4 linked regions of the Coturnix japonica genome follow. The protein of the gene in region 1 purifies or fractionates together with the protein of each later gene. This does not show direct contact. Links are inferred from orthologs where the notes say so. Each region holds a gene or a part of one and is shown in the gene's direction. Other genes may lie near its edges. The genes, in order: FXR1, TDRD3, CEP63 and ORC2.

Evidence for each region.
Region 2: the proteins of FXR1 (region 1) and TDRD3 purify together in Homo sapiens (affinity purification with mass spectrometry; 3 studies listed by BioGRID and IntAct, with this or other methods). This does not show direct contact. The link is inferred for Coturnix japonica from reciprocal best matches to the Homo sapiens genes FXR1 and TDRD3.
Region 3: the proteins of FXR1 (region 1) and CEP63 purify together in Homo sapiens (co-immunoprecipitation; 3 studies listed by BioGRID and IntAct, with this or other methods). This does not show direct contact. The link is inferred for Coturnix japonica from reciprocal best matches to the Homo sapiens genes FXR1 and CEP63.
Region 4: the proteins of FXR1 (region 1) and ORC2 purify together in Homo sapiens (affinity purification with mass spectrometry; 4 studies listed by BioGRID and IntAct, with this or other methods). This does not show direct contact. The link is inferred for Coturnix japonica from reciprocal best matches to the Homo sapiens genes FXR1 and ORC2.

The regions. Positions count from the first base shown.
Region 1 is NC_029524.1:15,044,376-15,051,492, reverse strand, and holds part of FXR1 (fragile X mental retardation syndrome-related protein 1), read left to right. Parts: intron 1-79; coding exon 80-132; intron 133-3,325; coding exon 3,326-3,419; intron 3,420-4,713; coding exon 4,714-4,785; intron 4,786-5,326; coding exon 5,327-5,475; intron 5,476-6,116; coding exon 6,117-6,210; intron 6,211-7,117. UniProt on the Homo sapiens protein: mRNA-binding protein that acts as a regulator of mRNAs translation and/or stability, and which is required for various processes, such as neurogenesis, muscle development and spermatogenesis.
Region 2 is NC_029516.1:145,182,056-145,189,900, reverse strand, and holds the start of TDRD3 (tudor domain-containing protein 3), read left to right. Parts: upstream 1-3,682; 5' UTR 3,683-3,768; intron 3,769-5,059; exon of another isoform or gene 5,060-5,063; 5' UTR 5,064-5,125; intron 5,126-7,845. UniProt on the Homo sapiens protein: Scaffolding protein that specifically recognizes and binds dimethylarginine-containing proteins. Plays a role in the regulation of translation of target mRNAs by binding Arg/Gly-rich motifs (GAR) in dimethylarginine-containing proteins.
Region 3 is NC_029524.1:2,642,131-2,649,834, forward strand, and holds the start of CEP63 (centrosomal protein of 63 kDa), read left to right. Parts: upstream 1-2,734; 5' UTR 2,735-3,017; coding exon 3,018-3,061; intron 3,062-4,488; coding exon 4,489-4,669; intron 4,670-5,395; coding exon 5,396-5,491; intron 5,492-7,557; coding exon 7,558-7,683; intron 7,684-7,704. Other genes in the region: ANAPC13 (anaphase-promoting complex subunit 13), read right to left, coding at 1,472-1,597, 2,530-2,628. UniProt on the Homo sapiens protein: Required for normal spindle assembly.
Region 4 is NC_029522.1:9,810,844-9,817,574, reverse strand, and holds the end of ORC2 (origin recognition complex subunit 2), read left to right. Parts: coding exon 1-56; intron 57-688; coding exon 689-860; intron 861-1,158; coding exon 1,159-1,220; intron 1,221-1,954; coding exon 1,955-2,073; intron 2,074-2,759; coding exon 2,760-2,846; 3' UTR 2,847-3,909; downstream 3,910-6,731. UniProt on the Homo sapiens protein: Component of the origin recognition complex (ORC) that binds origins of replication. DNA-binding is ATP-dependent. The specific DNA sequences that define origins of replication have not been identified yet.

The DNA.
Region 1 (7,117 bases):
GTGGTGGTTTCAGGCTGTGCTGAAATTGCTGCCCTGTTGTGATTCCACGTGTCTTACAACAACTTTGTTTTTGTTTCAGGGATTTATCAAAGATGTTCATGAGGATTCACTCACTGTTGTGTTTGAAAACAAGTAAGTATTTTATCTTAAAAATCATTTGTGTACTGTTGTGTTTGTTTTGATGTGAAGGGGAAGTAGACTTGGTTAGAAAGCTGGTTCTAGGAATACGGGTTCACTGTTGTATTCAGTTTCCGTGAACTGATTCCTTAAATAGCTGTGGTGTCAGAAGTCACAGAGTCAATTAAGCACTCCTTGACTTCTTATTTTGATATTTTAGTAACGCCTGTGGATGCAGTGGACAGATTTAATTAGAAAGAAGTGGCAGCTGTCTATATTCTTAATACCTACAGCAAAGAAAGATGGAAAGTACTTGAGTAGCTCTGTTTCCTGAGCAGTTCTTTCTGTGTCTAACACGGGGAATGTGATCAGCACCATCGGCCAGAAAAAACAATACAAATACCCTGATGGAGTGACTTCTTTTAACAAGTGCAGGATATACATGCATAAAAAATCAACTTCCAGAAATGTGTCAGCTTTTGATGTGCAAGTGGTTCCTGAGCTGCCAGCACCAGCCTGCAGGTTCATCGCTCAGCCTTTCTGGAAGGAAGATGAGGAAGAGGCATAATAGTGGGAAGCTTGCTTGTATATATGCACAATATTGTATGAATGGTTTATGTAATGCTGGGATGTTTGTATGTGTATGTATGTGTAATGCCTGCATGAAAAAATCCTGGGGAAAAAATGATGATCCTGCTTTTTTACTCTGCAAATCTAGTCTTTCTTTCTAACCTGTTTTCTAGCTTTTCTTCTACAAAAATTGGTTAGAAGATGAAGTGGCAGCTGTAGCTAGGACTTCCTGGGGTGGTGATGGAAGCTCTTCATGGTGTTCTTAACACCCCACTCCTTCTCCATTCTCACTGTCCCCCACAGAACCCCACTGATCTGCTTCTTCATCCTCATCTTGTTGATCTTCAGTTTCACATTCAACATCCACGTTACTTTTCTGTAAGAGTAGATGTTCTTTGCCTTCAAGGCACATGCTTTCACACCACGAGCCAACTGAGCTAAAGGAAGTGCCTGTAGTTCACAGCAGGTGTTTAATTATTGGCAAACATGTTTCTGCTGGTTTATATCTGTGTCATCAATGTGTTTTACTGACTGTGTGGCAGCAGCAACTTCATTCTGAAAAGGGTGATCTACAACAAAAGTTGAGTGCTTTGCTGACCAAAAATAGACCTTATCAGGAAGTATGTGCTACTCTAGTTGTGCCATGATGTAAATCTGATAAATTACCCTTTTTACTGAGTTAAATTCATAAGGGCTTTAATCAAATTGGAATTGGCTGGAGAGTAGCATCCGGAATGCATTCTTCTGTTGTGATAGTGATCAGCACTTAGCAAAGTGAGTGTCTGCTAATGGCATTCAGTTCATATTTTCTGCTGTTGTTTACTGGTCCTTATCTATAGCTATCACAAGGTTCCCAAAGCTGGTGAACCAGCACCAACTGCCAGTGATGATTTTGCTGGTGAGTTGCTCCAGTTTTTGACTTCAGGCCATCAGAACTTTAAGTCATATTCTCAAAACCAAGCCTACTGTGTACATTTCTCCCTGTTTGTTATATATATATATCAAAATACCTTATAGCTGCAATGAGTGAGTCATTGCTGTACTGTCTCCTTACAGTAGATGGAGATCCTCCGGAGATGGAAGCAAAGCTGCTACATACAGCTCTAAGATTGTCTTGGAGTGCCGAGGTCTCTTCAGTTGTTGCATCTCATTGTGGGCAGTCTGTAACTTCTCTAAGCTCCCACTTGCTGGATTCATAACCTGCAGTGCACAGCTGAAATTCTCAGGAGAGCTTTAAGCAGCTCAGTTGTTTACAGCAATTTGTATCCCGTTGTTCATTTATGATCATTGTGTTGACTGTTTCCAAATTGAACTTTTATATAGCTTGTAATCAAGGGGATGCATTTTGTTCTCAACTCTTACCATTATCCTTTGCATCTGTGAGAGTAATAACTTCATGAGGGGAGGAAAAAGGCAGTACACAGATCCCGAGGTTAGTGACCATTGCAGTTACAAGCATGATTAAATCACAAGAGATTTTTTTCCAACCTCCTTGACTGTTTTTCAGAGGTAAAAATGAGATTTAAGTGACACTTCTTGACAAAAATACTTTCCATCTTCAACAAAAGCCATCCATAATGCTCCTTGTGCATTGGAGATGGTGTTTTTTCAAAGTTACCCTGTAGTTAGGAGAAAAGTGAACTGTACAGCCATGGCTGGGGCAAAACTGCAATAACCCTTTGGGTCTGTCTGTACCTGATGTGGTCTTGAGGGTGTTCATAAATGATTGATGTTGGAATACTTGGACAGGTACCACGTCCAAGTCCCTTGGATGTTGTAAGGTTTTTTGTTGTCATTGTTGGTGGCAGTGTTGGCTTTATTTTAGTCTATCTTCAGTTGGCATTTTGAGTTGAGAAACAGCTTCATGGCTTCCTGAAAGATTTATGGAGAATAAAGGAATTATAAGAGAATACTGAGGACATCAGTTACTCTACAAGACTTCATAAATACATCTGAAATGTACAGCTCTACAAATAAGAAGCCTTGCAGAACCAAATACAGAAAAATAAGTAGCCTTTCTGTACAAGAAGTTAGCTTATTAATTTGACATGCATAGTAGTAATCAGTATTAGTAGGCAGTTGTGTTTTGAAATGAATCTCTTTGCCAGACTCCTGTTGGAGATTGCTTGAAATAGTTGTAGATAAAATCCTAAAGTTTTATTAGGAAACACAGTTGGATTTTCCTGGAATGCTTACAAACTGATAGTAAGTAGTTACAATGGTGAGTGCCAATGGGATTGTCAGTGTTAAAATGCTGAAAAAATGGACAAACCTCAAGGTGGATTACAAGGATGAATTTGCACATTCCCAAGGCTGTCATGGAGCAGCACACATCTCAGTATGGCATCTGATCTTGTGGAGGGTTTATAAAATCAATTCAGTGGAAACAGTCCATTGAACTTTCTTTTGAAGTTAACTGAAGAAGTGTTCTGGTACTACATATCCTCCCAGCTATGTTTTTGTATTGACAGCGTTGTTTTGCAACTTTGCTTTTGAAGATTGCTTCCTGGGAATGAAGAAACAGGCTTGATAATATGAAATGAGTGAGAGTTAACTAAACTTAGAGTTCTAACAATAAAGACTTTAAGAAAACAACAGAAAAATTCTGGAACTGATGTGTAATCTCTTCAACTTTCAGTTGGCAGCCAGAGCGCCAGGTACCCTTTAATGAAGTCAGATTACCTCCACCTCCTGATATCAAGAAGGAAATTGGTGAAGGAGATGAAGTGGAGGTGAGTTGATCCAGATGTTGGCTAATGAGCTGTTCTGTTACATAACTGAGCGTCTCTTTGAGATGATGGTGATTATAAGTAGATTAGTGGGGAATGAAAATGGAGTGTGTCTCAAGTAATGGATTTATTAAGCTGGTAAATAAAAAACATTTGTGTTCTCTTAGCGCTTTGAAAGACAGCAGGTTTTGCTTGCAGAGAAGCTGTCTGAAATTAAGGGGTCTTTTTTTTCTCAGAAAATTACCAGTGGAACTTGATTTTCATCTAAAATTTGAAATAGAGCCCAGTATTTTAAGAGATGAAAACCAAACTTGCTAATTCTCAGTTCTCATGAGAACTGCTGGAGATTTTTAGTTATGAAAGTTTAAATATGTCTCAATAACCTGGGTTTCAGTCAGAGTGAAATATCTTGTCTGTAAATATCTTGGAGGGAACAGTGTGTATTAGCTGTTCTATGGAGAAGCAGTGTTAACAAGAAATCACACATTACACCAGGACATTATAAGGTGTGTGTTGTGTCCCTGGTGTGCCATAGTAGTTTTAGTGATTGCCACAGTTGAACGTCCTGTTTTTCTTGTCATTGAAGTCACGTATCTTTAAGATGCTGTTACAGTTCTGGGCATATAATGTAAGCAATGCTGCCTGTGTGTGCTTGATATTTCTATTTTTATTCAAAATGCATGGAACCCCTTGGTTTTGTTAGAGGTTAATCTCAAGGCATTTTTTACCTCAGATTTCTTCACTTAACTTAAATTTCTTGTTTAGTCTGCATACAAATGATTAGAAGACCAGGAAAACCAGAAAGCTTTGGATAGCACTGGTTCTGTATTTGGTCTTGTACTGTTAGTAGTGTTTGTTAAATAAAAATATGTGGTTGTTTGTGATGTCTTAAGTTTGTCAAATTATCCAAAGGCAAAATAAAACCTTAATTTTGGAGTTCCTTCTGTATGAGAATCTTTGGTGTTAAGAGAGTCTTTAAGTTTAGTGAGGAATCACCACTGAATTAAGTGTTTTCTTAAGGCTTTGTGTCCCTCTAGCAATTTCTGTTGTATAGTTGGTGAAATATAGAAAGGAAATCTGTCAATGATCCTTGCAAAGTAATGAGAACTTGTGCAAGAAGCACAAAGTAATAATATTGAAGGCAAAAGATATTTCTGAGCAGCATACTGTTCCATTGTAATGAGAACTAGAGGAGTTGAGATGCTCCTCTCTGATCATAAATGTAGGCAACTCAATTATGTCTGTCCGTGCTTTACATATTGTTTTTTCACTTGTGTTTAACTGCTTTTGTTTTCAGGTTTATTCTAGAGCAAACGATCAAGAGCCTTGTGGTTGGTGGCTGGCAAAAGTTCGAATGATGAAAGGAGAGGTAAACTCCTTACTGCTGCTTTCACGCTGCTTTGTTAGATAAAGTAAATACAAAAGTTCTTTATAATGCAAAAGATGAAGAAACTACCAGTACAAAAGTATGACAGGACAGATTTTTAAGCTGAGATCACTTTGAAATGACCCATGCTGTGTTTATACAACTGGGAGTGTGTTTTTATAGCTGAGCGGCACATTCTGATTATTAGTAATTAAAGTGCATGGAGAACTGTATGCATGCATGCTGTACATGGCTTCCAAAAATCCTTCTTTGTGAACTGAAGTTGGCTCTAAGAAATAATAAAGTAATAAGCCTCAGTTGTGATTATGATCACTGTTCAGACTGCAAATCTAATTCTAGTAGTTCAGCACTCTCTATCTACAAAAGTGCTTTGATGGTGGTTCTGTTTGTACCTACATTTCAATTGAGTGTAGTGGAAAAACAGTGGTTTAGTTTGTTTGTTTTTGCACGTGCAGAACTTGTTTTACTTTTGGCTTTTGTGGTTACTGAAGTTACCATTCAGAAAAAAACAATTCTTCCATAGTTCTACGTCATTGAGTATGCTGCTTGTGATGCCACTTACAATGAAATCGTGACTTACGAAAGGCTCCGACCTGTGAATCAAAATAAAACTGTCAAAAAGAACACGTTTTTCAAGTGCACGGTGGATGTTCCTGAAGATCTGAGAGATGCGTGAGTAGTTATGTGTATTTTAATAATAAGGCAATTCTTTTAATGGAAAGAATTTGAGTGGGGGTGGGGGGTGGAGTTGGGATGTTATTTTTGAGGGTCATGTGCAGCTCCATTAGGAATCATAAGGGTGGCTGTGGCTGCTGTAGCTGAGTTTGAATTTACTGGCTGGGGTCTCTGCTGAGGGCTTGGGCTGGGGACAGAAAGCAGATGCTCAGGTGGGATCTTCAAGTCATGCTGCAGGCTTATGTAGCTGATGAACTCACAGCATGTCTCTGGCTCTGAGAGATGCCTCATGGAGAAATAAACTCTGGCAGCACAGAAAGAGAGAACTGAACGTTCCTCACTATAAACTAGTAAAACATTCTGGGATCTGGTTTTATTATTACATGGTCAAAAAGTGATAGGACAAGGGGAATTAGATTAGGTGCTGGGAGGAAATTCTTCGCTCAGAGGACGATGAGGCACTGACTGAAGCCTCCCAGAGCTGTGGGTGCCTGGTCTGGGTCCAGTGGGTGCCATCACTGCCCATGGCTGAGGGAATGGAACTGCATGATCCTTAAAGGTCCCTTCCAACCCGGGTCATTCTGTTACTCTTTTTTGTTTTGATGCAACTTCTTAAGACAAGTCATTTATCTCTTTAGATGCGCTAATGAAAATGCACATAAAGATTTCAAGAAAGCTGTTGGAGCATGTAGAATTTTCTATCATGCTGAAACTGCTCAGCTAATAATACTTGTAAGTAACTATTTTTGTGTGAATGTTGCATGAATTTCATTACATCTGTATGGTAGTGCTGTAACCGTCTGTACATTTCTATGGATTGCGGTCTAACTTCAAGAGCTGTGTAAGCTGTGAGCAGTTTAATATATGCAGATGTGTAGATGTGTGGGGGCAGGCCTTTGGAGGGGGTTCTAAGTTCTGCTCTGCAGTTAGCCTAAATTTAGGAACAGCTTTCAGGTATGGACGACAATCATAACAGACTGAGGGCTGCTTCACTGTTTGGTGTGGATTGCTCAAAGCTAACTACCTTACTCTGCTTGAGAGCAGTAGGTTCCACCTGTGCAGTATTACACTCCGTGCTTTGACCCACAACTGGGTTTCCAGATGAAGAGCTGCATCAGCTCACATCACAAAAGCCAGGGTGTGAACTGACAGGTGGGTAGTGCGGATTAGCAGGAAGCCCAGAGCCTGAATCATAGGGAGGGACCAAACTCAATACTATGTAGACTAAGGGAGCTTTTGCAAAAACAGCTTAGTTGGCCTTTTCAAATGTGAAATTTCTTTACAAGCAAAGCCATTCAGGAATTCTTCACTTAGATTTTTCTGTGTTTGCTTTGTTTTTCTACATAGACTTTTCCTGATATTAGTTTCTCTGCATGTTTGCTTATTTAATCGTATCCAGTTGAATCAGACCAGGGAGTCAATGAGTGATGAGTATAATATGGTAGAATAACATTTCATTTGGTTTGGAACATCAAAGGCAAGGAACTACCGTGTAGATGGCAACAAGACTTCTAGTGTTAAACATAATGTGAGTTAGTAAAGATAGTGTGGGATTTTTCATTCTTTGTTTTGTGGAAGAATAATGTCTATGGACGTTTCCATGTGCTGGAAGTGTAGCTTACATTTACAATTTATTTAA
Region 2 (7,845 bases), on another chromosome or scaffold:
TGCAGGATATCTTGCAGGATACTGTTATTTGCATTACATGTTAAGAAAATAATTTGTTTCATCACTGTCTGTGTAAGATGTCAGTGGTCAGCTGTTGCCCTGCATTGTGCTTCTTAAAAGCTTTACTGAGCTTGGCTTTTCTCACCCATTTATTTCATCGTTTTTATACTTTCTCCTTAAGTACACATGCATAATTCTGACTTCTGACTTGTGTGTTTAATGAAAATATGAAGGGAAATGTCTTGATTGTGACAGCACAATATTCCTGTGCTGGATTGTTCCATGTGGTGCCCCCCCCCACCCCCTCGTTCAAAGAAGAGGGAGAAGCTTGGGATTAAGGTGTGCAGAAAAAGATCTGTCCCATGGTACTTGAATCTGTACAGTGCTGCCAGCTATGTCTTGGGGATTCTGAGTTCATGAGCAGGTTCCAGCGGTGTAATCTAGTTCATGGACAGCTTAGGAGTGCTTCCCACCCCTTGGCGGTAGGAATCATGTTGGATTAGTGTAATGGGATCATTTTGTAGTTCACCTTTCATTATGTAGGGTTGCGGTAGGTCATGGTATCTTGCAAAATGTGCAGAACAGTTAATGTAGGCGCTGTGAGGCACTTGAATGACTGTAATGCAGGTGCTGATCTCCAGGGCTCCTTCTGAGGAGGGTTTCTCTGATTTTGATTTTGGTTCAGGGTCAGATTTTCTTCTTCTATATAATAAAGGGGGAAAAATATGAAGTGTCTTTTGCTATGTGCTGTACATTCAGCACGTCACATACCCTTATTAAGAACAGAAAGAAGCGACTTTCAACCAAGCAAAGGAATTTCAGACCTTATGCCAGCTAAAGAGCTAATTTGGTCAATCATAACTCCCATTTCATGCTTGAAAAACGTTTTCTCTGTACAAATGCATTTATTTTAGAAGAAATTTCTTAGAATTACTGGCTCTTATTTATTTATTTATTTATTTTTCTTAAATACTTTGTGGGCCTGTAGCAGGAAATGTTTGTAACTTAGATAGTTATTACAGGAGGCAATATAGACAATAAGGAGAACAAATATACTTATTTTAAAGAACTTTGCAGAGTTTTGAAGAAAATATGTATTAGGAATACTACTTGTATGAAGCAGCAAGAGGGTTAAATGGTTAAAACATCATTAGTTTGACATGCACTCCTTCCAGGCTTCTGTCTGGGTAGAAGAAATGTGTGTTTTGGTTCCGTCTGGGTATACAGCCTTTTCTAATCGCAATTCTTCACTAATCTCCTGACCATTTCTGATGATTGTTTTACTTATATGTTCTGTTACACAGAAACACCACTTGAGAAGTTATTGGAAAGCTGTTTTGATTGGCTGTTTTTTTTTTTTTTGTTTTTGTTTTTTTAAAAATTTATTTTAGTTTGAAGACTAATTTAAAAACTGATTATTGTGTTTTTGCTGAGAACCTGTAGTGTTTCCTTAAATCAAGCCAGAAGGTGTCCTCAAATGGCATTTCATTATTGTCTCCTCTGTAATGTGGATGGAGATTTCAGTCTGGTGTGCAATGTTTCTCTTAAGTGCTGTTGTTAACTGACATATTAACAAGTCAGAAAAGAAAAACCTTTTTCAATGTGCATATGTGTATTTATCATTTTGTCTCAAACCATTTGAAGAATTCAGAGGGAGGTGTCACACAGGAACAGGTTGCCCAAGGAAGCTGTGGATGCCCCATCCTTGGAGGCATTCAAGGCCAGGCTAGATGTGGCTCTGGGCAGTTTGGTCTGTTGGTTGGTGACCCTGCACACAGCAGGGGGTTGAAACTCCATGATCACCGTGATCCTTTTTAACCTGGACCATTCTATGATTCTATGAAGTAGTGAGACAAAGGAAACTAAGAAATTTTATCAGCTGTGTTTTAGCCTTCACTTTTAAGTGAGAGATGGAAACACGACTCAGCAGTGAGTTTTATGGTAGCAGAAGTAATCAATTTTATCCTATCTAGGGAAAATTTAATTCTGGGTCAGGTTGTTGTTTACTCACTCTCTAACGAATATATTTTTTTCCTGCTGATAAATCTTAGTGCTTGCATCTCAGTACTACACTGTGTAGCTCATAATGGAATTGCAGTTCTGCTAGCTTCAGCAGAACCAAAGAATTACTTAATTTGCACAAGAGAAGGAATGTTTCCACAACTTGTCTGAAATTCAGCTTGTGGGGTTTGTATTCCACCCACTCCTGAAACAACTGATCCTCAACTCTGTACTAAAGATTATAGGAGGTAGACTTGCAGATTCTATTAAATTTCTCCTTATGGAAACCCTACTGGTGTAATTAATCCACAGCTGAGGCCCCAGGTGTGTAGTGCTGCCTATAGAATATACCTGTTCCCATTTCCTCTGGTAGGGTGTGTGATTTCTGTTCTACTTTACATTCCGATTCCAGCTAACAAGTCTGTCTGAGAATTCCAAGTGGGAATTACCACTTGAATCTTCACAGGTGGTGATACCCAAGCTCAGAGGCACTCAGTTGAGAAATCTGCTTTCCTGCGTGGACTAACAAATCCTGCCACCTTATTCTCTAGTGTATGCTCCGTATGAAAAAATAGGATTGCTTCTTCCACATTATAATTTATTTATTTAGTTATTTATCGAGTTCTGGTCCCTCAGGATTTGCTAAGTGTCAGTGTCTGATTTGAACAGCTACACTGCTATCAAGTGTCTGGGTCAGAGCACAACGAGGATCATTAATTAGTCTGGCAGCACTGTCAGGGCAACGTTCATGTTAGCTGAGCTAGAATTAAAAAGGTGTATTGAGTCTGCTTTCGTTCAAATCTTTATATGATTTTATTTTACACTTGGGAATGATTCTCTTTAAATATTTCTTTAAGTGTTCTGGAATACTTAAACTTTAATTATTATTATTATTATTATTATTTCCTTTAATGGTTATTTATTCTTTGAGGAATAATGGTTTCTCGTTAGGTAATTGGTACATGAATATTATTTGGGCAAGTTCTGTGTTTCAGATTCAGAGTCTGACAATTATCAGTGTAATGATTGCTGTTGATGTTTTTAAAGAAAAGGCAGAACTGTACAGATAAAGCAGATCTCCATCTACATGGGAATGAAAACTGAGGGGTTGTAGTGAGAAGTAGGAGGCAAATTGAGCAACAAATGTCACAGTTTCTAACTGCTCAAGTAAAACTTACATTCTCCTTAAGTGTTTTTGAACATGAGAATGTGTCAGCCCTTTTAAATTGATAATGCACATCCTTTCAGTGGGTCTTCTTTAATTGCCAGGTGATTAGATTTATTGCATGCTTACAGAATTTTGGCAGGAAGGTGGTGATCCTGGACTGCCACTGTGAAAATCTCAAATGCTTCCAGAGATGTTCTGTTTCTAAAATTGTTCACCACATTTGACTCTTGGGATATGTGGAGATACAAATCCACTTCTACAAGTTATTTTGTAGGTTAGGTGAGCAAGAAGAAAGTTTGTAGAATGACAGTATAATATTTGCCTCCTTAAAGCATTTGAGTGCATCGTCTTGCTCTTTAGAAACTGATGTGGTTGTTTGTGGTTTTTTTCTTCCTATGTTTCATAACATAGAAAATACAAACTAAAAATGATCTTTGCATGCAGAACAGATATTCACCTATTACATACATCATGTATATCCTAATATGTCTGTTTTTTTTTTTCTTTAACACAGGTATCTTTCAGATGAAGGAATCGAAACTTGCATAAATTCATCTGAAAAAGTCAATACGAATGACATTATCCTAGTTGCACTTAATGTAAGTTATGATTGTGAACTTTTTCTCTGACAACACACTGAAAACAATATATCTGATGGCTCAGGTGGAAGTCTATAACTCTAATTAAATACACTGTTGTCTGTGCGATTTACATAAAGGACAAAGCACCTTTCTCCTTCCCAGAATGTATGAATTATTTCTGAATTTCATTTGGAAATGACGCCTATTCCAACTAGAAGCCTAATGGGGAGAAAAATGAGAATCATTTGCAGTAGGAAGATATTTCTGTGTTTTGGAAATGTAAATCTAAAGTATAAGCAGTACTTGAAATGAAATCAGAAGTGCTGTGTATGGATTTAAGAAATTATAGAACAAAATATCAGCTTGCTAGGATTAGTAAAACACCCTTACTTAAATTGACTTCTGGGTATGCTATTTTTTAAAGCCTGTTCAAGCAAACATTGAGTTTGCTATGATGCGTTCTTATTTATGTAACTACAAGCATTGCTTCAATTACTGTAGATATCTTGATTTAGTAATTATTTCTGCCACGAGGAAATAAACAAATTTGTGTGTTGTATTTCCAGCTTGGCTGATAGATAACCAAGATAAACCAGAAATATTATGAAAGTACCCAAAGCCAATCTTAATGGATTATCAGTATTTTTGTCTTTAAGTTAGTTGTTGTTTAAATTCCCAGGAGATTATGTTTCCTGTTGGATAAGTAGGGAATACCATTGTGTTTTGAAAAGCAGGATAAAGAGAGTTTAGATTCCACTTCCTAAAAATTCACACCTCTCATTGGCTGTTAAAAGTCAAAAGAAACCAAGAAGCCAACTGATGTTTTTTTGTGTATTGCTTGAATAGGAATGAAAGAAATGTAAGCGTGCCTTCAGTTCTTCAAATGCTTTTATTTTGTCTAAGATCTTGCAAAGGGTTTGTAAAAGTTCTGTCTCCTTCCTTGTTGCTGTAGTTGCAAAGCATCTTTCTGGAGACTTGTCAAATTCTGTACGAATACAGATTATTGCAGGGACAGTTCAAAGGAGTTGCTGTGCTGTTCAGAGGTAAATAACAGGCAAGCGACAGATCGGTTTCCTTGGGTGGGCTCAGTTTGAAAACCAAATGTACTTTCTTATCACTCTGTGGCTATATTGTGCAACAGAAAGTAAGTTGAATGTCTATGCTCTCTTTTATGGTATGTGCTCTGAATATCTGTAGAGTATCCTTATTTTGACATTACAGAAGCCCTTCTTTTTCTTGTTTTATGATTGTTTTCTTTGAAATAGGATATTTTAGATTTATATTCTGTTGTCTTCTATATTAATTTCAGACAGATTTAAGAACCATTGGCAAGAAATTCCTCCCCAGTGACATCAATGGTGGAAAGGTGGAAAAGGTAGATAATATTCACTTCTCTTGTTGCGATTTCTTTGTGATGACAGTTATCTGTACTGCATTAGTCTCTTTTTGGCATTATATCATGTACAAATTAAACCAATATTTGAGGATAAATATGTTAACACATTAGCTTGTGCACTAGACTGTAATAGACTATTTCTAAATTCTGAAGTCCTTAAACAAATGTGATTGATCGTAGCAGCTTCCTTTATCACTCAGAAACAGTTTAAACTGTTGGATTTTGAGTTAATATCAAGTGCCTTGCTTTTGCTTTTGCTTTTTTTTTTTTTTTTCCCCTCTTATTCACTCGTGAGAACAACAAAGCATGTTAAGCATAAAGCAAAGTAGCTGTGAGATTATGATACATAATGATATATGTTAGTAATACCTTGATTTATCCACTGATATACGTGATTAAAGCTGTAAACTTTGTTGTTGTGTAACCAGTAGTCTGTATGGATAATCCATGTCAGATGATACAGTGCTTTATAATCTATATAATATTCTTTTTTTCTATACTTTTATGTTCCAGATTTTTGACTTTTGTTGTATCTTTATGTAGTACTTGAGTTTTGACCTCACTGGGGTGCTCTTCCTGTGTTCTTCCTAAAATTCAGTTGACAGATAAGATAAATCAAGGAATTATATTTTAAAGGTAGTGGTAATTCTCCATTCAAGAAGTTATTCCTACATTCCAAATACTCATGACATATATCGGTGATGTGAAATTTCTTGAGAAACATATTACATTACTGTTGAAATTGAGTATGGCAGTAAATCAAAGCAGAATTATTTTAAGAAAACAAGCTTGATGAGTGAGGCTGTTTAAATTTGTCCAGATTTATTTTTTCTGATGATACTGTTGTCAAGACCAAGTATAGTGAGCATCAGTCCCAATGTTGACCCCCTTAGGGGTACCACTTGTCACTGATCTCTTTCCGGACACTGAGCCGTGGATCACTACTTTCTAGGTACAGTCTTGCAACCAGTTACTCATCCATCAACCAGTCAACCAATCAAATTAGTATCATTCCAATTTAGTGAGAAGGATGTTATGGGGGACCATGTTAGAAGACTTCCTAGAGTCTACATAGATGACATTAGGGGCTCCCCCTTGTCCTCAGTCACAGTTACACCATCAAAAATAGCAAGGTCAGTCAGGCAGGACTTGCCCTTGGTGAATACATGCTTATGCACACATCCTACAACATCTCCCTCTCTTCCATATGTCTTAACATAGCTTCCAGGAGGATCTGCTCCATGACCTTCCCAGTGCATAGGTGAGTCATAGAATCGTAGAATATCTTTGGTTGGAAGGGACCTCAAAGGTCATCCAGTTACAAACCCCTCTTGTAGGCTGAGTTGCCAACTACTAGGTCAAGCACTAGATCTTGAACACTTCCAAAAATGAGGCACTGGCAGCCTCTGGGCAGCCTATTCCAGCGCCTCACTTGTTCATTCTTTCTACTCTTCTTACAAGTGGATGCTACACTGTCTTTTTTCCTGTCACCAGGTACTTTACCTGACTGACTTGACTTTTCAAATATCATTGAGTGAGGCTTGGCCATTACACCAGCCTCAGGACTCTGAGATGCATCTCATCAGTTCATAGAACTATAGATGTTTGGATTCTGCAGGTGAATGCCAACCTGATCTTCACTTACAGTGCAAGGGACATTACTCCCCCAGTTCCTGCCTTCCAACCCATCCACTTGAAGGGTGTGTGAAGAGCAGTTGCCAGTGAAGACTGAGGCAAAAAAGTTAAGTCCCTCAGTTTTCTTCTGTTCATTGTTACCAGCCTGCCCTTATTCCTCATAAGTGAGGATGTGCCCTCTTGAACTTTCCTTTTCTGAGTGATGTACCTGTAAAAGCCTTTCTTGCCCTTATTTGCATTCATTGTTAAGTTCAGTTCTAGTTGGGCCTTCTCCTTCCTGACCTCATTTTTACACAGCCTAGCAGTATCCCTATATTCTTCACAGGGTACCTGTCTCTGCTTCTGTTGCCTGTGTCTTCCTGTTCTTTGGTTTGACCAGCAGATCCCCATTCAGCTATGCTGGTCTTTTGCCATTCTTCAGGGACAGGTCTTTACACTCTGTTCCTTCCTCAGTGTGAAGGGCAGTGCCTTCTCCCGTCCTTCCTCACCTTCTGAACAGCTTGTACTTGTTGATAGCTGCACTCCAATTGTGGAAATCATCCTACAAGGTTTTAGTAGTGGCAACTATGTCATGTCCTTTTAGTACAGTGGTGGCTTGATTGGGACAGGAGTGACTTGTCTATATAATCTGTTGGTAGAAGGCAGTCGTTTGTAGTTCAGAAATGCTTCAGAACAGATCAAAAAATTTCATGCTATAGTTTTTCCTCTCATACAAAATTTCTATCCGCATTATGTATCTGTATCTCAAGAATGTGTGATCTGTTTTCCATCTTGCAGGGAAAGTAAATTTATTGTGTAGTATAAATGCAATAGATAAATATTTTTAGAAAATGTATGGTTACTTGACCGTCATAGGTGATTGTCATTAATACATAAAAATATTTTATCATTTATTTACATCTGTTCTGTATGGCTTTAAAAAAATCTATACTACCAGCACTAGCCACAAGATGGCCGTATTTGCATAGGATTTAAAAAGCTGAACATTCATTTCCATCTAAATGACTGTATACCATGAATATTTGTGAAGTATTTTAAGTGGAATAAAGACACAAGGAGGCCTT
Region 3 (7,704 bases), about 12 Mb from region 1:
CAACAGTTTGCTGTCTTTTTCTTCCAGTAATGTAGGTGTGGTGAAAGGAGGAAGTTCCCAGCCAAGAAATAAAGATGGGGCTGAAGTTATACAACCAGCTCTTCTTTCTCAAAAGGTGGGGCACCTTCTCTTGTAGCAGGATCCCTTGTTTTAAAGATTGTTTGCCCAGGGCTGTGACTAATCAAAGGCAGGAACGGTTCAGTATCACGCTGTAAGCAGCACTTTGACTACCTGTGTTGAAATTACTGCCTGCCTGTTCGTCTTCTGCTAAGAGTGTCAAAAGGGAGTGAAGGACGTAGGTGTGCAAAGCCGATCGGTATCTGGGCAGGGCCAGCACTCAGCTTCCCAGGACCCACATTGGTAGCATTGGGACACTCCCATCCGTGTTCCTCTGGTTCTCCCACGCTCTGTCTGTCTCCAGCAGGTGGAAGCCCAGCATCCCTTTTAACCTGTGAGGTCCTTCATGATTTGGATGGGCACCACTTTGTCCTGACAACGTTCCCAGTTCAACTCAATACGTGCTGCCAAGGAGCTGCTGTTTTGGACAGCACTCACACATCTGACATATCCCCACCATGTTTTCTTATAGCCCTGCTGGAACCTTGTGAATTCAGCTCCAATTCAAGCGAGAAAGGCTTTTTTTCCCCCCTTGCTAGACAGTAAGAAGTGGGCAGATGCACAGACAACCATCAGGGCTGGGAAAGGAAGCCTGAAATTGGAGCTGGAAAATCCTGTGGCAAAATTGGTGTGATGGGGATGGAGCCTGTGATGGAGTGAGAGAGGGGAAGGGAAGAGAGAACAGAGACGGCTGCTGGGTACACAAAGCCACCACGCAGCTTCTAGTGTTTTCTTTGCAGGGAGAGGGAACATGGGGAGGATCAGAAATACCTCATTAAGCCCAAGCTCTGTTTTGCCCCCTGCTGAGATACAGCGAGGAGCTGAACTATTACAGTTCCCAGCAGCGTAGCTGTTTCTAAGGTCTATACTGTACATATGAAGCTTGGGTTAATCCTGAGCAGCCTGCTGGCTGCATGCAGCTCCTTCTTGTTCAGATGAGCTCACTGCTGGCTCAGAGCAGGCACTGCTGACTCCTCAGGCAGGGGCTGCCCCAGCCACTCAAACCAAGCATCCTCCTACTCAGCGCCCATGTCCTCACAGAACATCCAACGTGCTCAGCCAATAGGGATTTTGAGTAACCATCATTTGAGCACAAATCGCACCATTTAAACAACGTGTAAATATACAGTGGTCAGCACTGGCAGCGAACTCTAACACAAAACACAGTTATACCTCTTGGGACATAAACCTCCACGGTCACAAACATCCCATCCCCAGTTTTGACATATAAGAACAACTCCAGATGGTGAAAAAACACATTTTTTATCATGTGTAGAAAACACTTAAGAACAGAATTGGCACCAAGTAAAGAATAAGTTAACAGAGAATTTGTCGTGAAATGCCCCCGGATTCATCAGTTTCCTGTGGGAGGGACGTTTTCATGGAGATACTGCAGAGATAAATCCGTCCACTTCATTTCTTGCTCTTTCACAGACTCAGTTGTGCCTCCATTGTCTTGCTCTGGTTCAGGGAGCTCATTCTGAGAACGACAAGAAGAAAAAAGGTACAATGCATTCAGTGCATAACAAGCTGCCTAAAAAGGAGCTGGTGACGAAGACTTCCTATGAATAAATACAAAAAAATCCACAAATGAGACTGGAGGGGGCATCTGAACAATACATATCATACATCCAGATTCAGTTAAAATATTACTGAGCCCAGGGAGGAACAATGTGCTTTTCATATGATTATGATGCTTCATCTGAAAGGTAAATTGGCTTTCCAGGGCCCCGGGGCCTTGCTATGTACTCAGACTGCACACGCAGTGAAGGAGAATATAGAGAAAATGCAAAATAAGTAAATAATAACACGGTGCAATTATTCCATTGCTTGTTTAGATTGTGGTTCTTTGTTGCTGCCCAGAATACAGATACTGCATTTACCGTAGCTCTATTAAGACAGCTGGCTTTGTAACATATCGCTTTCTTATGGCAAGGTGAGAAATCCTTCCTCTTGCTGCATGTGGAGCTCTGCTGTGGCTGTGCTGTAACAACAGGAGATACAACACCAAGCTGCTCAGCATGCAGGGGGGAGGAAGGAGAGTTTAAATGCGATTTCATTTGACTTCCTCGTGTTATTTGCTCCCCGTGTTGCTGCATTGGTTATTATTGGTTTTGGAGGAGGGCAGCTGCTTCCTGCCTCCTCTGCTGAGAAGGAGCTGCTCTTCTTCCAAGAGTGATGCCACACTGTGCTGTAAGGGCTGAATGATGTCACTGCAATTTGGCAATGTCTCTTTGCAGGCATTATCAGATGCCGTGATTTTGGCCGGCTTACACCTGTGCGAACAGGGAAGGGGAGGATCCTCACCCAGAGGGTGGTGACGCACTGAACATGTTGCCCAAGGAGGCAGTGGATGCCTCATCCCTGCAGGCATTCAAGGCCGGGCTGGATGTGGCTCTGTGCTCCACCTACCAGCGGGATGGCCACGTCCTCGTACGGCAGCTTGTCCTCCCTCCACGCGTCATCGATCAGGTCCAGGATGCGGCCGTCCCGCTGCACCTCGCTGTCCATCCTCACCCTCCGAGGTAGCTCCGTACCAGCCCCGTCCCGCGGGGACTCGAGCGGCCCCAACGCGCTCGGTTCTGCCGGCAGCGCTCCGCCCCATCCCGCAGCGATGTTCCGGCGCCCGCTGTACCGTCATCACCCGCCGCCGCCTCCGTTCCTTCCCCTCCCCGGCCGGCAGCGCCCTGCGGGTGGGCTCGGTGCGGTCGGTGCGGTCCGCTCACTGTGCGGTACCTTCTTGTTCCGTACAACCAACCATTTCTCTGCCCCGTCACTTCGTGTCTCTGCCCTTCCTGCTGCCCCTCTATTTCCCCCACCTTTCCCCTCCCGCTGCCCGTGGATGCGGTGGCCGCTGCTTTGCGTGGTTTCCCCCCTGCTGACCCCGCCGGCGCTGGGTGATGGAGGCTCTGCTGGCAGGCATGCAGAGGAATGGCCAGGGGAGGTATGTATGTACGTATGTATGTATGCACCGCTGTGTGCCCGGCCTTTACAACAGCCTCACCGCGGGGCTTCCCTCTTAACGCTCCTTGCCACTCTTCTGCCAAGCTCCCATGGTGTCAATGAGACCCTCGGTACCTTCTGCAGGCGGATGGATGCAGCGCACAGCGACGTGGCTGCTTCGGCACTTTGCAGCGGTCCCTCAGCGCCTTGCAGTCTGTATTTTGCCTCTCTAAGAACGTTATCCCTTTGTTTTCCCCTTTAAAAAGCCCCCTCCTGCCTTGCAGTGCGGTGCTAAGTAGAAGAGTGAGTAAATCCTTTTCTTAAGAGCCCGGTGAGGTTAATGAGACATGCTGAGAGCACCTGATTACTTCCTGCTTGTGCTGGAGCTGCAGACACCCTGAGGAACCCTTAGGTGAAGGCTTGTGGGCTTGGAGATGGAATAACAAGGCTTCATTTATCAAACAAACACAAAACTAAAGGCACTGACACCATTTCCATTGCCGTCTTTGAGGAGGTGACTCAGTGCTGTATCTTTTGCAGTTAACTGGTTGTATAAATGCAGTCTAGACATAGCTGTGTATCAGCAGATGCTGAGCAGGAGGTGTTCTTGCTGTGCATAATAGCTGCTAATTTTTGGGTAACTCGCAGGCCGGGGTGAACATCCAATTTAACTGCTTTTGGCTGCTCTGAGAGCTACTTCTTTCCCTATAGAAGATCTGTCAGCTTGTGAAGGCTGGGTATGTATGCTCTGGGGGAGCAGGGAAATTTCAATCCCTTCACCTATTGATTTCCGTTCCTTTTCAGAGCCTTCCATTTGACAGTCAAATTAAATGGGTGAAGATGATCATGGAGTTCACAGCCCTCCAGGGCTGTATCTTGCAAGCCTTCATACCGTCCTTAGCTTAGCACTTGTGAAGTTTTACAGGGCTTGGTTGAATTGGCTTCAATAATTACTGCACAAATTAGAAGCTGCGGCATCGCCAGGGAGCGTGCTTTCCCCAATGGGTTGGGGATGTTTTATTCTTCATTATCATGTTGTCATCCAACCAACGTAGGGGTTTGTCTGCATTTGTGATATGCTTTTGTTTTCGGGAGCTGAGAGGTTTCTCTGGTGACTGAAAGGGGGTATAAAAGAGCATTAAGGGGAAATGCAAAGTATGGGCAGAATAAGTTGTGGTTTATTTAGGTAATGCGTAGTACCAAGATAAAGGGACCAGTGGTCATAGGGGCTTGCTGTGACATTAGAAAACAAAACACACTGCATGTGCTCTGACTGGGGTTTCCAAAGCATGCCCCATTAGTCACTGCCAAGTTTAGGTCTCTGCCCAGCGATGTTCCGCACCAATCACTGGTGTCACTGGTGTCACTACTGTGGGGATGTGGGACCTCTGTGCTCCTCTTTGTGACCTGAAGCTCTGTCCCTTCCAGCAGTGGGTTCCTGACATCCTGCGAAGCTGAGCTGCAGGAGCTGATGAAGCAGATCGACATCATGGTGGCTCACAAGAAGGCAGAATGGGAAGGACAGACCCAGGCTCTGGAAGCTTGTTTGGGTGTTCGAGAGCAGGAACTTTCCTCTGCCAGGGCTGCACTGGAGGAAAAGCATAAAGAGGTACGTAAAGGCTGAATGTGGATCTGCGTTTCTGTTTGTTTCATCAGATTTCAGTTGAGTTTTTTCTGCTGTTTCGTAGAATCACAGAATGGCCTGGGTTGCAAAGGCCCACGATGCTCATCCAGTTCCAACCCCTCTGCTATGAGCAGGGTCGCCAATCCTGTTTATTGGCCCACTGTGTTCTGGACCTGCAGTTAGGAAGGTGATTGTGGATGGGAAAAGGGAAAAGAGTCAGGGGAGAAAGGAAGAGGAATGGGAAGATCTGGATCAAGAGAAGGGAAACCTTTCCCAAGAGTTTCAAAGCACTGCTTCTTTCTTTGTCCATGTGTTATTTGACATCTCTGCTTCATCCCACTGGGGTAAGAGGATGGCACTGCCATCTCTTCCCTTAATAGATAGTTTGAAATCATAATGGATACTTATAATGAACATGAAAATGACATTGTCACAAGGCAAAAGTGTCAGCTTCATCTCAGCCAGCGGAAGGCAGACACAGCTTGAAAACACGAGGCCAAATCTGAGACTGTTCTCATCCCATCCAACCAGAGATGTGGACATAAGCTTAATTTGTTTCAAAAGGACTGACCCCAGCTTAGAAAACTGGGATCTCTTAACATTCCTTTGCCACTTCCACTACTGTGTATACTTATGAAATGAAGACTAATCCCTCTGTTTGCTGACAGTGTGCTCTGTCTCAGTTCATCTGCTTTGTAATTCTTGGTTCAGGTTGGCAAGTTGCGGCAGCAGCTGGAAGACACTGAAGCAGCCAAACAGGACTTGGTTAGGGAATATGAGCAGCAGCTGAAGAAGTTTCAAGAGGAGGTGAGTTTCAAAAGGAGAAGGTCGGTTTTTAATTCCCTGTTGATATGTGACCAGGTAGGTGAAATGTTTGGCATCATTGCCATTGCTTAAGTGCCATGGTTTTAAAGCTTCCCATTCTCTTCTCTTACAGAAGAGAGCACTGAGCTCAGAGTGATGTTTTTGTGCTTTGCTGGCCCTCTTTTGGGCACATCAGGGGAACGTGGTGACAAAGAAATCTGCAGGAATAAGAACATGTTCTAAGCTGCAATTTCCATGAGTTAAACATCTGCAGAGTTTTAGTGCAAAATCTTCCTGTATTTGCCAATCATAGTCACCACAGCCCTCATATGGAAGTTGCTATGGGTACAGGCAGCAGCAGTTTGCTCCTTCAGCACTTCCTTAAATTAAAATGGGTGGTGGTGGAACCGGCCTTGATTGTATGGAGAAACTGAGATCAGATCAGTACGCAGCCTCATCATCATTTTGCTTCCACTGAGTCTGATTTTATTTGACGGGACCTGTGTTCTCTCAAACCATATCAGTTTGCAAGAAGTGATTTCAGAGCTTCCATCTCGACAAGCTCCTTGTTCAATGCAGGGTGGTACACACACAGTGTCCTGCAGGTGGAACAGCAGCATTCCATGTTGGTGCCTTTGTTCTGCCTGTCTCCACTTGCTTGTCAGAAGCATTGAGTTAAGTGGCATGAGCAGCCAGCAGAGCACTGACCTTTTCTCCCCGGAGAGTTCAGCTTGGTTGATGCTCACTGTGAGCCATAACTTAAATTAATTTGGTAGCCTCAGCTTTGGTGACAGAAGGCATCTGTCCTCATTTACAACACCTTACTGCTCAGTGTGATTAGCAGGAGATGTTCCAGCTGAAATAGTGGATAGGCTGCAGAGCAAGGCTAAGGTGCTTTGGCCAGATCAGGCTATATTGCAATGGCTAGAATATAGTGTGTGTCTTGTGGTTAAAACTGCACTGCACTGGTGTTTTACCCATGTAGATGGCATTAAGCTGCAGTGTTCCTTAGTCTGTTTTAGTACTGTTTGGGTAGATAGATTTTATCTCAGTTTACCACCATCACCAGTAAAATTACAGGTACAGTGTCCACCTCATGGAGGTTGCTGAAAGGATAAACCAGTGCTTGGAATCTGCTGACTCATTTGGCAAAACACATTCTCAATGAATGTGCTTAAGCACCTTCCTGACTCAGGACCCTGGAGAACCTTTCCTGACCACTGTGTGGATCCGAATCATGGGGTCTTGATTCAGATATAAGTTCTCCATGGGTTCCCAAATCGGGAATGATGTCTTCTGAGGTTCATAGGGACCATTTGGAAACTTGTTTAAATGCTTGAGTTGGGGAGCTCATCAGATGGAGAAATCTGTGCAAGTTGCGAGTGGTGATTTGCACAGAGGGTCACTTAAATGTCAGCAGTTTTCTCCTCACTTTTGCTTCTGATAAGAGTTCAGCATTCAAGCAGTAGGCGTAGGAGTGTTATTTTCTGTTGGCATTTTCCAGTTATTGTGAAGTACGTCGTGTATCTGAGCAGAGGATGACAGATGAAGTAGTGTTGATGTTATGTATAATGGCAGTTCTCTAATCTTCCTCCTCCTGCCGAGCGGGAGAGTTCCACTCCTCACCTGAGCTTCACTTTAACCTCTAAGAATGTAGAACTGTCCCTGTGGTTGGCACCAGGAGATGGACCTCAGGTTCTTCTGCTGTTACAGAGTCCTGGGGCTGCCTGTAGAGAGAGGAGGTGCCATGTTAACAGCTACATATAGACCTCCATCTGATCGATATTTCAGTCATGCTCTCATTGTGATAAGACAGAGGTCTAATTGGAGCTGCTGATGTCACGACTTAAGCGTGGCATCCTGCTCCTCTTATACCACTCAGCGTATTTTGTGATCCTATCAGTATAATAGGCTCATTATACAAATAGAAATCTTCATTTGCAAGCTGTGTGGCCTTGATTGGGGGAATTGTTTGCGTGAAGCTATTTTGTTTGCCTTCCTTCAATGTGCTATTTAATTCCTGCCCGCTGGCCTTGAACAAAGTTGCCCCTCTTGCTGAATTCTTGCAGTTGGCCAGGCTGAAGAGAAGCTACGAGAAGCTGCAGAAGAAACAGCTGAGAGAGGCAAGAGAAGAAGCCAACAAGAGGCAAGGGGATGACCAGGTTGAAATGAGCCGACTGAGCAGGAAGCTGGAGGTGGGCCATGGGGAAGCAGCT
Region 4 (6,731 bases), on another chromosome or scaffold:
CTCTCTGCCTAGCATTTACCTCATTGCTTCTATCGATCACATCAATGCTCCTCTCAGTGAGTCCTCTTGGGCCTGATGTAGAATCTGCATTCTACTGTAGGTCTGCAGTGCATGTTTCATAAGCTCACGGATTACTCTTGGTGTGCAAAATAGACCTGGTGATGTATGTATGGTTGTAGTGGTTGGAAGCCCTGATTGGAACTGTGGCCTTTTGCAACCCAAATTGTATAAAGATGCTAAGAACTACCAGTCTCTGATTATAGTATAAGAAAAAAAAAAAAAGCACCATAAGAGCAAGAAAAAAAGAATGTTCAAAAAACAAGAAAAAAACCTCCAAGCCTGTGGCACTCTTTTATTTAGTGACTTACTGAAATGGAGATTGGATGCCAGATCTGTCACTACATCTAAACAATTTTATCAAAAATGCTTTTCCTACTGCTGATTCTGGAACAATATACAGCGTATCCATGAAGCTGGTGTGTAAAGAGGATGTGTGCAAATTTTCCATTGCAGAGGGCTGTCTTGCCTGAACTGCAGCATCTAGGTGTATGTACTGTGAATTTCACAAGCATACATTTTCTTCCTCAAATACTACAGTAGATCTAAGTATATTATAATATTGCTTATTTAATATCCCCAAAAAAGCTAACCCTCCAACTTCTGTCTGTTCTTTTTCCTCTCTGTGTAGTGTGGGATCAGGCAAAGCAAAGCCTCTACAATTGGCTTTGGTATGAGACGACAACATTTAGTCCTTATGTAGAAGAAACATCTTATGAAAACTCACTGTTAGTACAGCAATCTGGATCTTTGGCTTTGAGCTCCCTAACACATGTCTTGCGCAGCCTCACTCCCAATGCCAGGTAAGACACTGATAGACTTTACAGTAGAACCTGCTGAGAATCTAGTCTTCATTAGGTTACTCTGGACTTCTGTGTTAACTGTTAAGCATACACCTACCAGGAGGCAATCCCTGTTTTCTGACAGCAGTTTTCAAGATGAAAATGATGGGACCTAGCTTTCATGTGTTTGATTACTTTAAATGGAAGCAAGCTTTAGCCAGCAACTACATGAGTCCTTGTAATAAAAGATAAATTAGTATTTGCTAATGTTTTTTTTTTTTTTTTCCTTTGGATTTCCCCTTCTCATCTCTCTGCTTAGGGGAATATTCAGACTGCTTGCTCAGTACCAGCTGGAGAACAAGGACAACGCATCTTACTCAGGTGCATACCTACTGTTACCTCACCTGTTTGGGATGGCATTGCTAGCTCAGTCACAGTGGCACTGGCTTTCAGTGTATGGGTTGCATCATGAGCAAAAAAAGACCTGTACTTGTTGGTTCAGTGAGTCTTGGTAGTATAGATCGTCTGTTTATTGCTGCTGGATAGACTAGCTTCATTCTAGCCTTCTCTTAATGTTGTCTGCTTTCATGTTTAGACATTATTGGGACCACTGGGGTGACTGTGGGGCTACAGAATTAAAATCAAGGGAGAATATGAGCTTGCACAATAGTAGTGCTTCATGAACCGGGGAAAAACAGGAGATTTGGTTTCCATGCTGTTCCCGAGTAATCTCTAAAGTGTCCCTGCTTTCTAGGGTCCATGTGGAATGCACTGTCATGGTCTTAACAGATGCTGCAGAGGATGAGCAGCATGTTAATGGTGCAGAAAGATGGAAGTGAGATGGAGCAGTTGGAAATTGAGAGATGTGTTTTGTTGGGAAGTGCCATTGAAATTCTATTAGGCAGGCAGCGTGTCTGGAATGTTAAATCAACTGTTTTCTGTTGATTAGTGAAATATTAACTTGGCTGAGTACTTGAAGTGATGTTGTTGCCATAAACATTGTGGTGTAAACCAAAGCAACATTTGTGGGTAGGGAAAAAAGTTCACAGTTAGACATGGAAAAATGGGGCAAACTTACAATTTCAGATCCTTGTTCTCACCGTCTCTGTCTCCAGGCCTCTCTTTCCAAGACTTCTACCAGCAGTGTCGAGAGGCCTTCCTTGTAAACAGTGACCTAACACTCAGGGCACAGCTGACAGAATTCAGGGACCACAAGCTCATTCGGACCAAGCGGGTGAGTTGCAGAAAGACAGTAATTCTGGGGGTTCAGTTATGTCAAATAAAAAGCTGCTCTATTCTGTAAGAGCATACCTAAGATGCAAGTGTGTGGCTCACAGTGAGGCTTTGCATTTTGAAGCATCTGGGCACTAGCAAAGTGCTGAAATTTTGTAATAGCAGCTCTTTCCATAACCTCAATCATGAGCACCCTTCATGAGTACAGGAGCTATAGAAACAAACAAAAAACACACAACCAAATCAAAGCAACAACAGTGTGGTTTAGTTAACTCAGCAACTTATGGGTCTCTGTAGAACACAACTTCCTGAAGACTTGGAGATGTAATGGATGTTGGAGCCTGACGGTGTGATTGAATGTTACCTGTATTTGCATGGCAGAAGAGTATAGAGTCCTAATAATGAGGCAGTGTAGCAATGGTAGATGTGAGAATATGGTGTTGAGGAGGTGTGTAGTGATACAATAGCACAGCCCGCCAGAAGCTTTGCATTTTTTCAGTATTTGTGCTTTTCAAGTGTTGCTCTAGGGAAATGTGCTTGGACTTAGCAGTGTGTAGTCAGTCACAATGCTTGCCAGCTCTCATCCTGGCTGCAGGTATTCAAAGTAAGTGTTGCAGTGCTATCTAATGGCTTGCATTGCACTATGCACCAGTGTTAACGGAATGTATGTTGTGTATCTTTTCTCAGGGAGCTGATGGTGTGGAGTACTTATCAGTACCTGTAGATGACAATACCTTGAGCGACTTCTTAGAGAAAGAGGATGAAGATGTATAACGTCTGTCTGTTCCCAAAACAACTACGGCAATTGCTCTCAAGGGCTGCTGGAGAGGGGCCTATGCTCAGGTCTTTCTCTGCAGCTTCAAAGCTGCTGGACTACTTACTGAAATGTATTAACTGTAATGAACGTTTCTTGTTCATCCGCTTCAGGTAGTTTGGAATGATAACTTCTTAAAGCAAGCTATTTCTTGCTCTGAAGTTAGATTTATCTGCTTTGTCTCTTAGCTCAGATGATGCCATCTTCATATCTGCGTAGCCAACTATACAGTCAGGATAACTAACTCAGTAAGATTGTGCCTTCTGCTCTTTACCAGACATGAGGGTTTGGTTGGAGTAGTTCATGTGAGAAGTGCAAACCACAAGATGGTCAGAGCTTTAGTTTGTACCAGTGATGGATTTTTTTTTTTTTTCCTCAATTGAGTGCTTTGTGGCACTCCTTTACCAGCTAGACAAGATTGGCTTCCAGCATATGAAGAAGCCATTTTTATAATGCTAAGAGACCTGTATTGATTGCACAAGGAATATGAGCAGGTTTGGGATGCTGTGGGTAACTTATTAAATTCTGACAGTGGAACTGAAGGACTTTTCCCCATGATGGAATTCTTTTATAAGAGGATTTAGGTAACAACTTGTGTCCATCGCAGTTTTGATGACCTCTTGGTGAGGGTGAGATATTTCAGCTTCTTTCATCTACTTTCCAATTTATAATCTGGAAATATGAAGAGGCTGTGAAGTTTAGTTTACTTTAAAAATAAATAGATTGATTGTATATATGTATTTTTTTACGTTGGGAGTGTCCATTGATTGTGGAGGTGGCCTTAAATGCCACTTAACAAGCTCTCCTTTTTTGTAGCCATTAGAGATTGGGAGGGTGCTGAAGCTTCACAGGTTTTCAATGTGTTTCTCAGGTATGTGGAGTAAGCCCTAGTTTCATCAACTGTAGTCTGCTAATCAGACTTCAGGGACTCCAATGTCTGACACTTGGTAGCTGTGTTACAGCTCAACGTTGTAATAGTTCAAATCAATCAAATAAAGTTCTTTAATAATTTTCATTAGCTTATCTAATTTTCCACATGTGTTTTTATGTTATGGGAAGATAGAGATCTTTCTTGGAAGTTACATGAAAGCCTCATTTTCATTCTTATGTCAAATATCTGTGCAAATCCTTGTGCAAGGGGCAAAAGACTTCAAACTAATTTTAAAAAGTATTCTATATTCTTTGAAGGTACCAAAAATAATAATAGTTTGTATGCTTTGTAATGCCTGTGTATAGCTTTATAAAAGAACCAAAACATCACATGTAATACTACTGTTACCTCTCAGTGCTATACCCCCACTACACCCCTCACTGGCAGAAGCAATAGGACATAGATTTACAACCTGACTTCGATTTGTGTTGAAAACATGGAATATCTATTTATCAAATTGATTGTTCGAATATAGGAGCTATTTCATTTTGCTGAAATGTGATAGGAGGGTAAACTGGTGCTTGCCAGCAGTGCTCTCCAGCTTCCGTCCCCAGAACATCTGAGGAAACAGGAAAAGACAACAAGGAAACTCAAGGAAAATACTTAAAGGAATGAAGGACTCCTCCAGGAAGGAGCCAAGGCTGGCTGCCCAGCTGAAGTGCCTCTACACAACACACACAGCTTGGGAAACAAACAGGAGGAGTTGGACTGTGCTACTTAAAAACCATGGCATAATTGCCATCATTGAAGCCTAGTGGGATGATTCCCAAGACAGGATTGTGGCTCCCAACAGTTACAACTTGTTCAGAAGGAACATGCACAGAAGGAGAGGAGGAAGCATTGTCCTCTACATCAATGTTCCAGAAAAACAGCCACAAGCAAGTTGAAAGTCTATGTGTGAGTTAGAGACTGGAAGCAATAAACATAGCCTTGTAGTTGGAGTCTGCTACAGGCTGCCTGATCAGGTAGAGCCTGTTGACAAAGCCTTCTTTTTCTAGCTACAAGAGACATCACAGTTGCAGGCTCTCGTCCTGCTGGATGCATGGTGAGCTGGAGGCAGACAAGGTTTTGCACCTCGGTCATGGCAGCTGGGAGATGAAATGATAGAGCACAGCCCTGCCAAAATAGACTTGAGTGTACTGTTGGATGGCAAGCTGGACTTGAGACAGCAGTGTGCCCTTGCAGCCTAGAGAGCCAACTGTATCCTGGGCTGCAATGAAAGAAGTCTGGTCAGCCCACCAAGGAAGGTGATTCTGCCCCTCTACTCTGTGCTGTTGAGACCTTACCTGGAGTACTGCATCCAGATGTGGAGTCCTCAGTGCAGAAGAGATGTAGACCTGTTAGTGCACATCCAGAAGAGGCCCACAAAAATGATCAAAGGTATGGAACACCTCCCCTGTGGGGACAGGCTGAGAGAGCTGCAGCTGTTCTACCTGGAGAAGGCTCTGGGGAGACCTGAGAGCAGCTTTTCAGTACCTGAAGGGGGGCTATAAGGGAGAAGGGGACCACCTCTTTAGCAGGGTCTGTGATGACAGGACAAGGGTAATGGTTTCAAAGTAAAAGAGGGGAGTTTTAAACTGGATATAAGGGAAAAGCTTTTTACAATACGGGTTGTGAGGCACTGTAACAGGTTGCCCAGAGGTGGTGGGTGCCTTGTTCTTGGAGACATTAAACATCAGGCTGGACAGGGTTCCAAGCAGCTTGGTCTAACTGTAGATTGTTCGTTACAGGGAAGTTGCCCTAGATGACCTCTAAAAGTCCCTTTGAACTCAATTGTTTCTATGATTTCCAACTGACTTTCTCCTTTGGAGGCCTGTGCATCTGTGTTTTACAGGCTGCAATTATAAAAAATGTGTGAAACATTAGATCCCGCCTATTGCTTCTTAGGCTACCATTAGAACCACTAAAACTGTCCAGGCCTACATTAGCTGTAGAGTTCAAAAACAATTGCTCTGATAGCTGTGCAGCCCCCTCTTTTATTTGGGAAGGAAGAAATCTTCCCTCACTTTGATCCTTAGCTGTCTTTGTGGCATTGAGAAGAATGATTGTTTTTTTATCACCTCAGCAGTTTCAAATAATACTGAATTTAGCCATCTTTCTCCATTTGTACTTAAATGGAAGATGGTGTGCAATTACACTTAGAGCATCATCTCCAATTTTTATTCCAGTAGAAAAATGGAAACATAAGCGCTTGTTTCAGGCTGTGGCAGTGCTGCTTTCTATCAAGGTTTCCAAGAGTAATTAATTGATTTCAGTCAGTTTGAAGAAGTAGGACTAGTTCCCTTGTACTGGGTTGACATCTCCCTATAAATCACATCACTTTGCTAGGTACACCTAGAAGGCTGAGCAAGTAACACGTTCTTGAAGGGTAGCAGGCTGGCTGTTTAATGGCTTGAAGTTTTATTGAACAAGAGGGCAAATTAAGATATGAAAGAGGGGGCTTAAAATGCTTGGCAGTGTGGTTAAGCTGTATGAAAGTACAGCTGCTGGTGGCAAGCATCTGGTCGCAGCTTCACATCACAGTTCTGGAGTGGCTGCCTCCAAGTCAGTGTGTGAGACTTCTGGGAAAGCCTAAGTAGCAGAACAGCTTATTGACATTTTACTGGGGTACTTCTCACAGTGCTCCACTGAGGAAGGACATGGTTTTCAGTTACACCCTCCTCAACTGAAACAGAACCGAAGTTACGGGGAAATATTTCCAAGAATCCCAATGATTTTAGCTACTGCAGTTAAATCTTCATGTAGTCTTCAAAACTCCAGGTTCACACAGGACTCAAACACACTGAGCTGCTGTGTGCAGCACAGAAAAGGCCCTGCTAAATAAACCAGCTTTATTAACTAAATTTAAAGTGATGCCACTCAGACATTTATTAGTTTGCAATGGAAGTATTTTCAGATTGTTTAAATATTCTTC